2 linked regions of the Mytilus edulis genome follow. The protein of the gene in region 2 interacts with the protein of the main gene of each other region in a biochemical or structural test. Links are inferred from orthologs where the notes say so. Each region holds a gene or a part of one and is shown on either strand. Other genes may lie near its edges. The genes, in order: E3 ubiquitin-protein ligase SIAH1-like and F-box-like/WD repeat-containing protein TBL1XR1.

Region 1 (9,434 bases), on a different chromosome or scaffold from region 2:
TGACATTTTTCCATGTTATTGGGCCAAACAAAGTTTTGCAAAAACTTACTAGTCTGAATGAAATTTTACTAGTCTGGGGCATCAGACTAGTGGCTTACTGTGCAGACTGCAAATGCTAGACTGTTTCATAGATCTTTAACAAAAGCATGAAAAGGGAATGTTATCTATATTTTTGCACATCATGCACTTTGAAATTTGGGAATCCAGTAACTAATATAAATAAAGACTACACATGTACTTCTTTAGCATTCATAACATTTATATACATGATATAGTTAAGTGTTAAAACAAATTACTTTAATTTGAATACTGTGGATTCATTTATTTTCATTGGATACCAATTTTCGTGGATTTCTTTGGTACAGGGGACAATAAGATGCACATTGTGCCATAGGAAATGTATGGCAAATTTACAAATTTGAAAGGCATGTTCTATTACTCCACCATGTCAACACCACTGTTGAACCCATAATTGCAGACTATACTACATGTACTACAAATGTATGCTGGCCATGCGTAGTAAACAAAATACAAATGTAGGCGGTTTAGCCTTTTGTAATTATATATTTAACAGAAATATCTTTAAAGGAAGTGCACTAATAATAATTGATCTGACAATTGGTGGGTTTTTAAACCTAACGAAAAAAAACAACAAAACCAAGGTTGTAATTATTCCATTACACTTTGTATTAATCCGTAAACTGCAATTTGAAAATCTGTTACGCTTGAACTTTTGTCATCATACAATTAGGCCAGACTTTTTATTTTATCTGTTTAACGAGAAAATTTGTAAAAAATTAGGGTCGAGGGGGCGAAATAAAAAAAAAAATAAAAGTGCAAAATTGGTCCAGTCGACACTAAAAATAAAACCATTATAAGTGATTTTTTTTTTTTTTTTTTATAGAATTTATCAAAATACAAGAACAATGAAATGAGAACAGACCAGTATATTAATCCAGAGAAATATAAATACATATAATTTATATATGTCTCTGGTTAACCCTTCTATTAATATAAACATAAAAACTATGTTTTGATTCTGTATTTCCACTAATATAGATCCATGGCACCACTCAAATATATCAACCTCGCTGCATATACACTATATATGTATATACCAGTCACCCAGTCAGGAACCTCTTAGTGTATGCAGAGACATACATATACACATGTGTATATATGTCTCTGGTGTAATAGTCCCAGAGTTAAGTAACTTTAACCTATAAATTGAAACAATGCTTATACATGGAAATATATACATTAATCAAGAAGATCTAACCAAAAGTATGTTAATGCGTGTGGAATGCGTAATTTTCCCTTTTGGGATCAATTTTTGTCTGTCAGCAGTGCCATTCATGCGTCTGTAGTCATTATCGCAAGAATCCGGATTTCGGTCATAGCGGGTCCGTTTCTGATGAAATCCTGATTTCGATCCGTAGTTCTACAAATTTAAATGTCGGACGAAGAAAAATTTACAAAAATAAACGATGTTTGATACGCTATTTGGAAAGGAATATGACGTTTCTAATGCAATACATGGATGACAAGTTTACTTGAGGCTAATTTCATCAAGTTCTGATGAAGTAATAACTGATTTTGCCGAAAGTTAGAATGATTTGATGTACGCTCTCGTGTAACAAGTATGAAAAGCATGCCCCCAGCTTAAAAATCTTTTAGAAGAAAATATATCGTGTATGCCTTGAATTTCTTTACTTTTAAATGCAAATTGCTCTTTCATTGACTTGGTAAAAATTAAATATTACCGATAACGAAATTGACTGAAAGCGAGTATCGTGAACAACACATTTTATTTTTTTCTGAGCATTTCGTAACAGTCGGCGGGAAAAATAATAATAAAAGTAAGAAGCACTACTTTTGTTTTTATTCTAAAATCGGGAAAGGTGGAGTCAGCGGATCTCGTTAAACAGATATTAAAAAAAGTCTGGCCTTATCACTTTTCTATTGTGTCGTCAGATATTTTCTATTATGACAAGTATGACATCAAAATTTTATGGAAACTTTAGAGGTACCTAGAAATGCACAAAATAGCGATTAGCAAAATATGATTAGGAAATAGTTCATGGGGCTTGAATTTAGACTGATTTTACAATGGGTTTGCCCTTTATGCTAAATATTTTACCAAGTGGGACAGCAAGGGGTAAAACATCAGCATAAAGGGAAAACATGTGGTAAAATCAGTATAAATTCAAGCCCCCATGAATTATTTCTATTCTATAAATAGGGCAAATACAACATTTTTTGTTATCGATGCGCATTAGGTGAAGGGAAATATTTGCTGGTCCTGTAAATAAACGCACTATTAATTTGACGTAAAAGTGTGTATAATTACGTCATCTTTTCATGACGTCGGGTCATACCTGCCAACTTTTGAAAATGGCCATGGGGGTTTTTGTGCGCGGCACCATTTTTGAGGGTAGAATTTTTCGCGGCATTTTTTCGTGTGTTGATTTGGCTCCTAAAAGTGTCTGACATACTTCTTTTTTGGGGGGTGATAGTTGAAGATGCTATTATAACCTATCTTTTTTTAAATTGTTTGATTGTTGTATTCTTTTTGTTGAGATAAACACCAGTAAGATGACTTTATGTTTGTCTGATACATTGTCAAGAAATAAAAAAAAAGTAATATTTTAATAATTTAATAACAAAAAAAACAACAATATATGAGGGTCTGGAAATGGGGGGGGGGGGGGGGGGGGACTGTTGTTCTGTAAACATTTAATTTTCACCCCTTTTTTCTCTAATCTTCAAAAAATTAACCTCTTTTTTTTCTAATCTTCAAAAAATTTGACCACGCATTTCTCCAATTTTTTTTTGCCCGTTATTCCCTTATCTTCATTTTTTAAGGGCATTATATTCTTTAATCATTTAACCCCATCCAAACCCTCATATATTATATAGATCAATATCACAAGCAGTACTAGAATGTTTGGAGACATCATTAAGGCCACCGTGGTCAACTTTAAAGTCTCTATTGCAAACTTTACAAAAGGCATGTGACAATCCTAACGTTGATTTAGACAACCAGCCCCTGTACTTGACATCATTCTCCCATTTCTCTAAGTATTTGCACGAAGCAACACGCTTTTTTTTCTTAGGCCGTGACAGAACTATTTTGCAAGTGATAACTCGCCCATCATGATTCCAATTTTTATAAATTTGACACCCAAGCTAAAAAAAAAAAAACAACTCAAAATTTCAATTCTTTGATTGTTTACTATGCCGACATTAATCAACTGGTGAATGCGTGATCACTAAATTTTGATTGGATGAAATTTGTCAGACACGATTTGTCTCCCTTGGGAAAACTTTTAAAAGTTCAAAATCGGGAACAAAAATATTTTTCGTGTAAATTTTACTAAAATCGTGTTTTTTGGCTATTTTCAAGATCACGATCGTGTAATCGGGACAGAGGGTCAAAATCGTGTAGTAAACGCCTAAATCGTGAAAGTTGGCAGGTATGTCGGGTATCTCATTCATAAAAAAGCTTATGACGTGCGAGTATGATCCAAACAGCCCAAACAATATATTTCTATTATATTAATATTATCAGCAGTGTGTACTCACAGGGTTAGATTAACGTCATGTTAGAATTTAAGGTGTATAAACTATGATGCCTGTGGCTGTGACTGCATGATATAATTTATGTTGTAAATAGACCAAATGTATGCCATCTCATTTGGAGTATGGTGGTGCATTGAGAATATTGCAGATGTTTATTTTCTTATTTGAAAAGGCATTGTTTTCGTGAAAGTAGAATCGTTAAAAAAAGATGTCTGGTTTGTGAAAAATTTTGTTGTAAAACCGTAAACAGAAATGGGCGATTTGTGCGTTTTATTGCGACTGGATTTTCATTATGACCATCAACACAGTACATTATGACATTTTTAACTATGACATAAGATTTTCTAAATATCAATTAAATATATCATAGTAAACACAGAACATTACATTCTATTTTCTTCTACGAGATAATTATTCTTCATTCTCCATTTATATGCGTTCTACGTCATCATTTCCGTTGTACATATCGTGGTTTTTATAAGTAGTTTTAGCGGGAAATTATGAATTGAAGTTTAAAGTTAACTATATTATAATATAAATTTATATATGAGACAATATCTGAAAAAGTCTAATTTTTGGAAATAAGAAAAAACAACTTTTTTTTTTTAGACCCAGTATTTTAATAGCACAAATCGAAGAACACACATTGGGGATCTAGGAACTGTTGTCTGTAATTCAAACAATTGTTTAATAAGGAAACAATGGCTATTTTAAAAATGATACAAACAAATCCAGTTCTTTCCTGTTACCAAAGTGAATCAATTTAAAAAAGTTTCTAATGGGAATAAGGAATAAGTTTAAGACACTATTTGTGGTTTACTAGTATATCCTGCAACAGTTTATCAAATGCCAATTATTGATTATGCATTTGCAATACAAAAGGTTTAGAAATATACGTAAATATAGTCAGATATGTCGGTAACATGAAAGAATCTTGAGTAACAGCACAACGGTAACAGGACAGAGTTGGTAACAGAAAGGATTTTTCTGCTTTACTTTAATGTTTAAGAAAAATACATCATTTTAAATTGGTTACAATTGGAAGATAACAGCAAACGATGTCATTTATCCTTTGAAACTGTATTTGCAAGATGAAAAATCTGCCTAGGTAATGAAAAATTCTAAAATAAATTCCTTTCTGTTACTATCTACTATACTAGAATTGCACAATGTTCTCTGCTGTTATCAAAAGCAAAAAACCTAATTTTTAATTCAATATACTGTATATTATTTTGAAATTTATTTAATATGGTGGTGATAACTTATATTAAATGAAATGGTTGGCATATAGTAGATTAACTTTTCGATTCTTCAGTAAAATTGTCTTGAACATCCTTCCTGTTACTGATGATGGTTATGCTGTTACTTTTTATCAGGTAACATGACAGAACGTAACAGAAAGGAATTACGCGATAGTTTTTGTCCTTTTTATCACATTAAATGTAAGTGTATTTCCTGTGACATATAACTTTTAAAAAGATGATATAAAAACACACTTAATGCTGTGGTGCACACTTAAAAATATTCTCAGAAAGTGTAAGAAAAGGCTGTAACAGGATAGAACACCAATAAGTATTTTTCTATAAATTCTTACCTTGGATATGGGCTTGAATTTTCAAACCTGGCCGCCTTTCCAACTATTTCTTTGTACTAATGCATTCAGGAAATGATGCTCTTCACAATTCATAATGGGAAAATAACTCTTGGTCTTGTAAACGTTTCCACAGGTAAAAAAAACACAGTGGTAACAGGAGGGAAATCACCCTTGGGGACAAATTTTTTTTTCTGTTAAAATTTGCAAAATTTTATTACATGCTATAGTTATAACATAAAAAGACAAATTAGGGGCAAGTTTATTATATAATATATCATATATGTGAGAATCGGACGCCTGTTTAATTAATTTGGATATTATTTGAATGATTTAGTTTTCAAAAAAACACAGGGGACAACATGATTTTAGGGGGGGTTGAACATTTAAATTACAATATTTTATTGGAAGAAATATAAGAATGAGTGTTTAATTGGCAGGCCATGGTGCATTATATAATTTAGTTTATACTGAAACTTAAAATTTTCAAAAAAGATGGTCGAATAAAAAAATAATTGCTGGTGAAGTGGGAGACATGGAAATTAGACTTTTTCAGATATTGTCTCATATATACTGTAGAAACACTAATTTCCGTGGGGTTAAAATTTCGCGTTTTTGTGTGTTAATAAGATTTCATTGGGATTTAATTTCGTGGATTCCAATAAATGGAATATATATATATAATTGTTAAATTTTCATGGACTCCATATATATATATAAATGGAGAATGAAGAATATATATATATATATATATGACAAGTACACACCCGTGATATCGCGGGTCCGTGACTGAATTAAAGTATATAACTATGCCTAAGCCTTATTTAAGTAATTAGTATTGTCATCTGATAAAGGCATGTCGGTTATAAATACAAAGTTTTCTCTGCTTTCAAATCTTTCTGTTTGAACCCGTCGATCTGGAACTTATCAATTATTGGTAATATTAATTATTTGGAAAACAAAGGTCCTGGCTATCCAGGAATGAGGGCCCTCATGGGGTTTTTGATTATGTGATTACTTGGCCGTTTTTTTAATGATTATTTGATTATTAAGCCAAATATTTCATGATTATTTGATTACCTAGGACTGTATTTTTAGTTTATGATTATTTGATTACTAAAGATAAGCAAATATTTAATGATTATGTGATTATATTGGCAAAAAAATGGTGATTATGTGATTACTAGGACCCCCCATGAGGGGCCTCAGGAATGGAGTATTGTTTAATCAACAGCATTGTCCTATATTAGTTATCTTAGAAAGTCTTGCTGATTGCTGAATAAAACTATAATAGGGAACAATTTGACAATGATTGAATTTAGTAGTGTCCCTTTGATTATGACCCGTGTATATAGCAAAATCCTAAATACACCGTTTGGTGGTGCGCCTGTCAAATGCGGAACGTACAGATAAGGTAATAGCTAACAGGTGAATATACTATTGGTATTGGTATCGGATTCGACCCGGAACTTGTTAATTATTGGCAATATTAATTATGTGGAAAACAAAAGGGTCTGGAGTGGTGTAATTTTTAATCTACACCATTGTCCTATATTAGTTATATATAGAGTTGAATTCTTTGATTTGTCGTTTTTACCCGATGACGGCTGACAAATTGGACCTCGTAATTTTAGTATTATAGATATATTCTTTCCACGAAATAAACGAAATTAAATCCTCCACGAAAATATCCGCTTCTACAGTATATGTAGACGACGATTTCTCATTATACTTAGACTGACTTTAAAACTCAATGACTTGTCTTAAAAGCTTAAAATTCTAGGATGATATTTGAAAAAAAGGCAGGACAGGATTTTGAGTTAAAAAAAAAAAGGGCAGGATGAGTAACTTGGCAAACAAAAAAGGCAGGATGACAATTGTTGTAAAAAAGTCAGGATAAGCTAAGAAAAAAAGACAGGACCGAATAGACTGAAAAATAAAAAGGCAGGACAGAGATTACAACTAAAAAAAAAAAGGCAGGACACAATTTTTTATCCTAGCCCCCCCATAAAAATCAAATAGTAGCTCCCTTAGAACAGGGTATGATTTGGCAAGTGCTGTCAGCACAGTCATAACCGAAATGGGTAGCCAGTATACCCCCACCCGCGGTCTTATCTTGCTTATTTTCTGCTAATTACCACCATGCATGCTTTACGTGCTACATTTTGTGCTGTTTGATTTATTGCATGTTTATATGTTGTATTGTTATGAATGTTAGATATCCTTGCTTGTATACTATGCCGACTCCAAATAAAGCTTATTCTTTTATTATTTATGAACCCGATCGAGACAGGATATCTGGAACATAATAGTATTGACATAATAGAGCATAATAGTCCCAGATGATAAACATATGCTAATGCAGATAACTGATCTCTGATTGTATGTGCAGGTAAACACTTTTTTTTTTGTATTCAGTATAGAAAAGATAAGATCAGATCAGATAAGATGCTAAGAAAACTCTATTTTGACTCGGCATTTATTTTTAAAATAAATATACATAGATTTTTACCGGATATAAAAAAAAAAGAGACATGTACACAATCTCTCAGTGGTTGAACTTGTTTAAGCACATATTTGAAACCAGCATGATAAACATAGGTGGATCCAGGGGGCCTGGGCCCCCTTTCGTTGAAAAAAATTGGTTGATTATATATTAGGGAATCACTAACGCATGACTGGATCCCCCTACCCCTTAGGTCAGTATAAGCGCCCCTTTATAAAAAGTTCTGAATCCGCCACTGATACAATAGTAAAATGGTCCACTGGAATAAACACTATGAAAGCTTGATTTGAAAACAAGTAAAAATCGCGATTACACTTTTTTCTATAAATAAAAGAAGTTCATCAATTACATGTATCAAAAAAATTTATGAGCCACTTTAGACATGAAAAATCCTACAGATAAAGATCTGCGAGATATCTGGGATATATTTTTGGTAGGCACAACAACATCAGAAACGACATTTTTTTTAGTGTAGTTTTAAAGAAATTGCTAAATTTAAAACAAGTTGCTTTCTTTAAAAAAAAGAAAAGCAATACATGAACCTAAGACCGCTAACACTATAAAGGTATATAGGAATGGGTTTTTTTCTGAGACAAGTGCCTATGCTTTTATACACCACATTTAGACTTTTTCCTGGCGGCCAGTTTTTATTGGTGGAGGGAGCCGGAGTTATCGGAGAAAACCACAGACCTTCAATAGGAAAACTAATATAAAAAATACCAAAAACTATTTATATTAAATCATTTATAAACAATACTAATAAACATAAAAGCCAAGAGTGGCATTTTCTGCTAAGTAGCCACAGACAGAAAAAAGGACGCCTCCGGGTGCGGGAGTTTCTCGCTACATTGAACACCCATCGGTGGCCTTCGGCTGTTGTCTGCTCTATGGTCGGGTTGTTGTCGCTTTGACACATTCCCCATTACCTTTCTCAATTTTATTGTCATGGCATAATAATCAGCTCGTTGACTGTGGCCATTATCAGGCAGGAGCAGAAGAAGAAGAAGAAGAAGAAGTATGTTGTTCGTGAACATTTTGTTTTTGTTAAGAGTTGAACACAAAAAACTTGTTTGGCCAATGAAAGAACTCGAGAGCATTCTGTGATTTCTTAGGGATGAAAACATTTTCATTAAATCTGGTCTTACGAGGACTCAATATATTTTAGATTTTATGGAAGAATACAAATTTTCTGCAAAGGAGCTCGAGGTTGGTAAAACTTTTATACACTCCAATGGAGTAGACAGTACGGCAATAGATCATATACTGTACCCTGATCTTCTACGAGAGGATATATTATATGACAAAAAGTTAGATATTATAAATCATGTATCAGACCACTATCCAATTCAGGCTGAAATCAACTTTGAGTTTTCAATTGGGTCAAATAAATTAAAATCATCAAAAAGAGACAAAATCTTCCGTAAAGTTAATTGGGATAAACTGGGTAAAGATAAATATCAAGAGTCCATAGAAAAAGGAATAGATGCATTAAAATTATATCGTAACACCACTGATGCATGGTATTAGTATCGATGCATTTTCTAACATAAATAACATCATTGACTCTGCTACCAAATCAGTAGCTCATGCGCACAAGGCATTCAGGAAACGACTGAAGCTGAAAGTGATGAATGAGAATATAGACCACGCTATTAAAGCAAAGAAACAAGCGCATGCATTATGGAAATTTCAAGGGAGGCCAGCTGACCCTTGCAATGAGCTAGTTATCAATAAAAAAACAAACAACATATGAAT
Region 2 (9,550 bases):
CTAAGGGGCTAGATTTAAATGTACACATTGTAAATTGAAGTCAGCTGATTATCATTGAATGTTTAAATACATTGTATCTGTATTTTTCGGCTGTTATCTGCTCTATTGTCAAGTTGTTGTTTCTTTCACAATTCTTTCTCAATTTTCTTGCTTATTCCACAAAAAAAACTTGTAAAACTGATACACCATGAATAAGCACAGTAATAAACCAAATGAATATATAATACACAAGTTTATGATTGTGTTTTAAATCCTTAATTTCTATGCTCTAATTATAATTTAGGTATTATAACCATTTAAATCTAGTCTTTACCTCTGCAATGCTTATCTCAGCCTCTGTATACTGTAGGCCCTTTTGTATGATGTTCAGCAATGCTGCTGGTGGCACCAGTGCTCCATTGATATTAGACTGACTGATATGGCTTTCAATTCCAAAAGTATAGGCTGAGTGCACAAAACCTTACAAATAAAATTAATAATTAGGTTTAAAGAAGTTACAATCAACAAGTTCTTATATTCTATATTTAAATATACATGTAAATGCACTTGATGAGATGATAAAGGAGAAGTTAAAATTTGAGGCCAGATGTGTTCAATCTAACCTGCTAACTGACCGTGTATTTTGATTTTGGGCCTCTTTATCAAATTGGTCCACATTGGGTTCCAAAGTACATGTAGCACACTGTGGAGCATTATATTTTTTTTCAGATCGCTTGAAAGTCACACTTGTCAAAGATGATATGTAAAAAGTCAAACTTTGTGACAGCCTGTTTTACCTTTAAATAACATGATTGTACTATACATTAATGAATTGCGACTGTATCTACTAATCAGCTTTCATTTGCTTTCATCACATGCATGCTAGGGAACTTGTAGTGAGGTTAGAGTTTTTTTTTGCTCCATATTTAAGGCCTCACGGTGACTTTTGAGATGAACCAGTACAACACCTATATAAGCGTTGTCCCTTTGCTTTTATTGTGTATTTTTGCTCTGCATATACAAGTTCGTTCTTATGTTGTACTGTTATACCACTGTCCCAGGTTAGGGGGAGGGTTGGGATCCCGCTAACATGTTTAACCCCACCACTTTATTTATGTATGTGCCTGTCCCAAGGCAGGAGCCTGTAATTCAGTGGTTGTCGTTTGTTTATGTGTTACATATTTGTTTTTCGTTCATTTTATTATATAAATAAGGCCATTAGTTTTCTGGTTTGAATTGTTTTACATTGTCTTATAGGGGCCTTTTAAAGCTGACTATGCGGTATGGGCTTTGCTCATTGTTGAATGCCGTACAGTGACCTATAGTTGTTAATGTCCGTGTCATTTTGGTCTTTTGTGGATAGTTGTCTCATTGGCAATCATACCAAATGTACTTTTCTTTTATTAGGTTCAAATCAAATGTTATGAAACGTAATGAATATCTGGATTTATAATATGGGAATTAAATACAGTGTGCTTATACTGGTTCTGCAATATGTAATTGTTATTCTAAATTTAAATCTTTATTATTATTAATATTATATATACAAGTGAAATAAATTGTACATGTATGCATATTAGATTTGCCAAAAAAAGTAATAAAATATTCTCATGCATTTATTACCCCGCCGCATTTTTGCGCCTGTCCCAAGTCAGGAGCCTCTGGCCTTTGTTAGTCTTGTATCATTTTAACTTTTAGTTTCTTGTGTACAATTTGGAGTTTAGTATGGTGTTCATTATCACTGAACCAGTATATATTTGTTTAGGGGCCAGCTGAAGGACGCCTCTGGGTGTGAGAATTTCTTGTTGCATTGAAGACCTGTTGGTGACCTTCTGCTGTTGTCTGCTCTATAGTCGGGTTGTTGTCTCTTTGGCACATTCCCCATTTCCATTCTCAATTTTATATTGTACCATTCTGGACTAGAATATGCATTAGCATTCACACCTACATATACTTTAGACTATAAGCTACATTTACATGGACATTGTAAAACTCAGACATTTTTGTATATGATGTGATTAAAATCATGTCTCAATCCTACATTTCAATTTACCCAAGATGGATTGACTTCAAATTCACAAATAACCCACTTCCTCTGAAATATGTGTGAACCAGTATTGTTGTCAAAACATAGTTCCAATCAGATGTTGTTGAGTTGTGTGACAGGGTACGTTTAACACTGAGCTTATTCGGATCATATTTAAGTTTCAGATAATCTTCATAATTTTAAAATGTTTCATTTACTTTTTTCAAGTAAAAGTACCTATGTAAATGTTGGTTGTTATTGGTGAGGACTTGTTTTCAGCTAAATTCTGTTTACTTCATTTCCTCATGTATGTACTTAAAAATTTCATGACTACAATTTTGTACATGTAGTGTACTTGACACATTTTATAGACATAAATAAAGAGTTTAGGAAATTTTCTTTTACAGTATATCATATGTTAAATTATTTGTTTGAATCATGAAAATTATCATACACTGTTCAACATAATGATCTTGGCTAAATAGCACTACTATAAATTTTACATCATGTTCTAATCAGATTTTCAATTTTTTTTTTACCTGTTTACGATCGCGATGTTCAACATGCACAATACGAGAAAATTCAATCGAAGACAAGTAAAATTATTCTCATTCATATTTTATTTAATCTACGCTGTTTTATGATATATTTTATATGTTAAGCATCATTTGTGAAATATTATATCATTTTGTTTCAAGTTCACAGATATATTTTACTTTCTATGTTTCAATCGACAGGGATGTGATGTTCAACACATGGAAATATTCAAGCTTATCAAATACTCATAAAATTACAAAATCGGTAACTATAACATATTTATTGATACTTTTTAATAGAATTATAATATTTTAGTATGAGATACATTTAATTAAAAAAAATATGTATCAGTCAACAAAAATATTGACCTGCGCATATCATAAAAATGTCAACTTCCGGAATAGTTTCCTGTCAAAACAATGTCAGAATTTTCTATGCAAAACGATATGTTTTGGACTCATGGGATACAAGGAGGACGCGTCCCAGGGACTCACAGGTTTCAAAAATGATGCGTCCAGCTAGATTTCCATGCGTCCAGGACGTGTATACACGTCTTAGAGAGAACCCTGCTATCCAACATGTACATGTATGCTTCTTTATGGAGACAGGAACCAAGTATATATTTATTGACCTAACTTGAAGCATGCTTCAACATGTACTGACATTTTAGGTTTCAGTATATATAAATATATTTAAAGGTAGATACAAATGTAGCCAGGGTATTGGTGTTACTGGAAAAGTGATTTGATAAAGTTATTCATTACCTCATTTTCTTTCACTTCAGTACATGTATGATGTCATCCAATGTCATATGTACATGTATGTAATGTACATAGAAACTACTCACTGTGTGAACTATATATATAAATGTATCAATAGAGAAAAAAAAATAATTACCAGATTCTTGCAAATATCTGTACACCAAAAAATTCACTTCGTCACTGCTAAAGCTCATGACTTGTTACTTTTTACTGTCTTTAAATAAGAGTCATTTACTGCAGACCTTTACCTGAAGCAAAAGGTAATACAACTATAAAACAGACTATAGAAAATGAAAAATATGGAACAGACTATAAATAGCTTGGCCTATCATCACAAAACTAATTACAGGAATAGACTATAATCGCCTTAAATACAGAAATGAAAACTGAATGTTTGTCTTTAAGAAACGTTCATGTCATTGCTCTAAACTCAAACTAAATCCCGGAATGTTTCAATATTTGTGTTCTTAATTACTGAAACGAAAACTTTCTATTTACCATGCATCAATTTAAACGACATAATATTATCATTATAGCAACAATTAGTACATCTGATACATATTAAAACAACTTACCAGCAAATTTTAAAACAACGAATCCGACTGTCAAATGAAAATATGCACAAACAAGCGCAAAGTCAATAAATATGTTTTGTGAAACAGACTGTATTTGAAACGATTGCAAATAAAATATTATAATGAACAGTATTCCTTAAATTAATAACCAAAACTTAATGTTATTCGAGTTCTGTCAATGAAGATGAATGTGATAATAATATAGACAATAAACCACACTTCAAATTACTCCTGAAACAAGAAAATTGTCTCCGGTGTATTCCATTGAATTTCCTCGATCATCGAAGTATGCCGACGAATGCGGAACAATCAGAGTACTACTTTTCTATGAATAGTGCGAGATCAACATAAAAAGAAATCTCATATGTTCCATTTAATATGGCTTATATCTCATTAATCAAATATTTTATATTTCAAATAATTTCTGTGTAATTTGATTAACTCCGTTTATTACGTAGAATCAAATAAAATAGGTTAGATTTCTTCTGCGGAAGCTTCTAATATTTTGCATACTACAGGCGCTTTACTGCTGTATATATGAATGACGTAAGCCTGGGCATGACCCATTCGAACGGGTTTGACAAAATAAAATATTAGCCCTAGATGATATCCTTGGAAATGTTTCGAAGAGGCGTCAAAATCACAAACTTATAATACAGTTTTGTTTATAATTTCAAGTTAGATTGTTGATATTTAACAATAATCTAAAGGCTACAACCGAACTTATAGTATATTTTCACCTATAAATTAAATGCAACATTCTAAAGGGCTAAGTTGGGAAATTTAAAAGTTCTATTGTGGGAATTTATGCAATAGAGTATAATTTGTTTACCAACTAAAGTTGTAAATTAACACAAGGTATTATTATAGTTCTTGGTGATAGATCATTAAATTTAAGGATATTTTAAAGTGACGAAAAGAAAAAGTTTCCCCTACTGACACCTTTGACCCATTTAAGTTACAAACGTGACTCTTTGACCTAAAATAAGACAAACAAATACTGTGCACTGAAAAGTAAACATACAAAAGCCATTGTTATTCGTCCCTTCTTGATTTTTCGCAATGTGTTAAGATTACTAGTAGCGTTATTCATAATACTGTAAAAGAGAGTTGCAATAGATAACGCTCAATATTTATTTTCCGACGAGAGGACCCAAGACGGGAAAATCCGTCAGTATTTTTTAAAGATTAAATACTAACACATTACCTGAAACAAGTGACCTGAGATTTCTAATACAAATACAAATATTCATAGTCTTAGATTAAACAATTAGCTCAGTCATCTAATAAACGTCAGTTCTTGAGTAAATAATTTATATGCATTTTGATACTCGCAATGGGTCATTCATATGTATGTCCAAATGGGCACAGGCACTTGTCTCAGCATTATTAGATTTGTATAGTAAGGATCTAAATTATCTTACTATACAAATATACTATATATAAAGTTAAATAAAAGGGGTTGAATCTGAGACAAGTGCCTGTGCATATAGGGAAGAAAATACTGAAAGGGACAATCAAGGAAATAGTCGAAGAAAAATAAAAACCAAAATGTCCAAAGCCGGAAAGACTTGCAGACAAGCAACAGTCCACATGATAAGAAACAGAAAAATACCGACTGTCAATGCCATTGACAAAAACAAAACAAAAACGACGAAAAGACTTACAGTTACACAAATACAAACTAGAAAACTAAATATTGAGCAACCCGCGTGATTACTAAAATCAAAACTGAGGGTATCTCATGTGCTCCAGAAGGATAAGCAGAATCTGCTTCACATGTGGCACCTAGCTGTCGTGTTTGGTTGTGTAAGCTAAAAACCGTTGAAAAGTACAATTTGATCGGTAATACACATTCGATCGGTAATACACATCCGATCGGTAATACACATTCGATCGGTAATACTATTCGATCGGTAATACATATTCGATCGGAATATACATTCGATCAGTAATACACATTCGATCGGTAATACACATTCGATCGGTAATACACATTCGATCGGTAATACGTATTCGAGGAAGAAGAAGACGGAAATGAATTTAAGACAATAGGAACATATCTGTTGCCATCGTGTGAAACAGGTATTCTATAACGATTAACCATAGGAACCTATCGGTCGACATTGTGTGTAACAGGTATTCTATAACGATTAACCCTAGGAACATATCTGTCGACATTGTGTAAAACAGATATTCTATAACGATAACCATAGGAACATATCTGTCGACATCGTGTGAAACAGATATTCTATAACGATTAACCATAGGAACCTATCGGTCGACATTGTGTGTAACAGGTATTCTATAACGATTAACCCTAGGAACATATCTGTCGACATTGTGTAAAACAGATATTCTATAACGATAACCATAGGAACATATCTGTCGACATCGTGTGAAACAGATATTCTATAACGATTAACCATAGGAACATATCTGTCTCGTGTGAAACAGATATTCTATAACAATTAACAATAGGAACATATCTGTCGCCATCGTGTGAAACAGATATTTCTATAACGATTAACAATAGGAACATATCTGTCGCCATCGTTTGAAACAGATATTCTATAAGGATTAACCATAGGAACATATCTGTCGCCATCGTGTGAAACAGATATTCTATAGAGATTAACAATAGGAACATATCTATCGCCATCGTGTGAAACAGTGTTCTATAACGATTAACAATAGGAACATATCTGTCGCCATCGTGTGAAACAGATATTCTAAAACGATTATCAATAGGAACAAATCTGTCACCATCGTGTGAAACAGATACTCTATAACGATTAACCATAGGAACATATCTGTCGCCAACGTGTGAAACAAATATTCTATAACGATTAACAATAGGAACATTTCTATCGCCATCGTGTGAAACAGATATTCTATAACGATTAACAATAGGAATATATCTGTCGCCATCGTGTGAAACAGATATTCTATAACGATTATCAATAGGAACATAGCTGTCTCGTGTGAAACAGATATTCTATAACGATTATCAATAGGAACAAATCTGTCACCATTGTGTGAAACAGATATTCTTTAACGATTAACCATAGGAACATATCTGTCGCCATCGTATCTATCGCCATCGTGTGAAACAGATATTCTATGACGATTAACAATAGGAACATATTTGTCTCGTGTGAAACATATATTCTATAACGATTATCAATAGGAACATAGCTGTCACCATCGTGTGAAACAGATATTCTATAACGATTAACAATAGGAACATATCTGTCGCCATCGTGTGAAACATATATTCTATAACGATTATCAATAGGAACAGACATTCTATAACGATTAACCATAGGAATAACCTGTCGCCATCGTGTGAAACAGATATTCTATAACAATTAACCATAGGAACATATCTGTCGCCATCGTGTGAAACAGATATTCTATAACGATTAACCATAGGAACATATCTGTTGACATTGTGTAAAACAGATATTCTATAACGATTAACCATAGGAACATATCTGTCGACAACGTGTGAAACAGATATTCTATAACAATTAACCATAGGAACATATCTGTTAACATTGTGTAAAACAGATATTCTATAACGATTAACCATAGGAACATATCTGTCGCCATCGTGTAAAACAGATATTCTATAACGATTAACCATAGGAACATATCTGTTGACATTGTGTAAAACAGATATTCTATAACAATTAACCATAGGAACATATCTGTTGACATCGTGTGAAACAGATATTCTATAACAATTAACCATAGGAACATATCTGTCGACATCGTGTGAAACAGATATTCTATAACAATTAACCATAGGAACATATCTGTGGACAACGTGTGAAACAGATATTCTATAACGATTAACCATAGGAACATATCTGTCGACATCGTGTGAAACAGATATTTTATAACGATTAACCATAGGAACATATCTGTGGACATTGTGTAAAACAGACATTCTATAACGATTAACCATAGGAACATATCTGTCGACATCGTGTGAAACAGATATTCTATAACGATAAACATAGGAACATGTCTGTCGACATTGTGTAAAACAGATATTCTATAACGATTAACCATAGGAACATATCTGTGGACATTGTGTAAAACAGATATTCTATAACGATTTACCATAGGAACATGTCTGTCGACAATGTGTGAAACAGATATTCTATAACGATTAACAATAGGAACATATCTGTCGACATTGTGTAAAACAGATATAATGATTAACCATAGGAACATATCTGTCTCGTGTGAAACAGATATTCTATAACGATTAACAATAGGAACATATCTGTTGCCATCGTGTGAAACAGATATTCTATAACGATTAACAATAGGAACATGTCTGTCGCCATCGTGTGAAACATATATTCTATAACGATTATCAATAGGAACAGACATTCTATAACGATTAACCATAGGAATAACCTGTCGCCATCGTGTGAAACAGATATTCTATAACAATTAACCATAGGAACATAGGAACATATCTGTCGCCATCGTGTGAAACAGATATTCTATAACGATTAACCATAGGAACATATCTGTCGCCATCCTGTGAAACAGATATTCTATAACGATTAACAATAGGAACATGTCTGTCGCCATCGTGTGAAACATATATTCTATAACGATTATCAATAGGAACAGACATTCTATAACGATTAACCATAGGAATAACCTGTCGCCATCGTGTGAAACAGATATTCTATAACAATTAACCATAGGAACATAGGAACATATCTGTCGCCATCGTGTGAAACAGATATTCTATAACGATTAACCATAGGAACATATCTGTCGACATCGTGTGAAACAGATATTCTATAACGATTAACCATAGGAACATATCTGTCGACATTGTGTAAAACAGATATTCTATAACGATTAACCATAGGAACATATCTGTGGACATTGTGTAAAACAGATATTCTATAACGATTTACCATAGGAACATGTCTGTCGACAATGTGTAAAACAGATATTCTATAACGATTAACAATAGGAACATATCTGTCGACATTGTGTAAAACAGATATTCTATAACGATTAACCATAGGAACATATCTGTCTCGTGTGAAACAGATATTCTATAACGATTAACAATAGGAACATATCTGTTGCCATCGTGTGAAACAGATATTCTAGAACGATTAACAATAGGAACATATCTGTCGCCATCGTGTGAAACAGATATTCATAAACGATTATCAATAGGAACAAATCTGTCACCATCGTGTGAAACAGATATTCTATAACGATTAACCATAGGAACATATCTGTCGCCATCGTGTGAAACAAATATTCTATAACGATTAACAATAGGAACATATCTATCGCCATCGTGTGAAACAGATATTCTATAACGATTAACAATAGAAACATATCTGTCGCCATCGTGTGAAACAGATATTCTATAACGATTATCAATAGGAACATATCTGTCTCGTGTGAAACAGATATTCTATAACGATTGTCAATACAAACTAATATGAACTATTTTTGTTCCTGCCAACCTTAAAAAAATCTTTTATAGGTCTTCCGGAGAAACGGAGTTCACCCTTTGGAGTATTTATCTCAAATTTTTTAAAGAAAACATTTACATATTCAGGTTCTCAAATATGGAACAGTTTACCAAATGAAATAAAAATGAGTAATACACTTGT

Evidence for each region.
Region 1: the proteins of F-box-like/WD repeat-containing protein TBL1XR1 (region 2) and E3 ubiquitin-protein ligase SIAH1-like form a complex in vitro, tested with the Drosophila melanogaster proteins (2 studies listed by BioGRID). The link is inferred for Mytilus edulis from reciprocal best matches to the Drosophila melanogaster genes ebi and sina.

What each region holds. Positions count from the first base shown.
Region 1 is NC_092350.1:59,086,679-59,096,112, forward strand, and holds the start of E3 ubiquitin-protein ligase SIAH1-like, read right to left. Parts: upstream 4,051-9,434; 5' UTR 3,970-4,050; intron 1-3,969. UniProt on the Drosophila melanogaster protein: E3 ubiquitin-protein ligase that is required for specification of R7 photoreceptor cell fate in the eye by mediating the ubiquitination and subsequent proteasomal degradation of Tramtrack (ttk).
Region 2 is NC_092346.1:85,056,842-85,066,391, forward strand, and holds the start of F-box-like/WD repeat-containing protein TBL1XR1, read right to left. Parts: upstream 4,422-9,550; 5' UTR 3,879-4,421; intron 3,552-3,878; 5' UTR 3,498-3,551; coding exon 3,440-3,497; intron 460-3,439; coding exon 314-459; intron 1-313.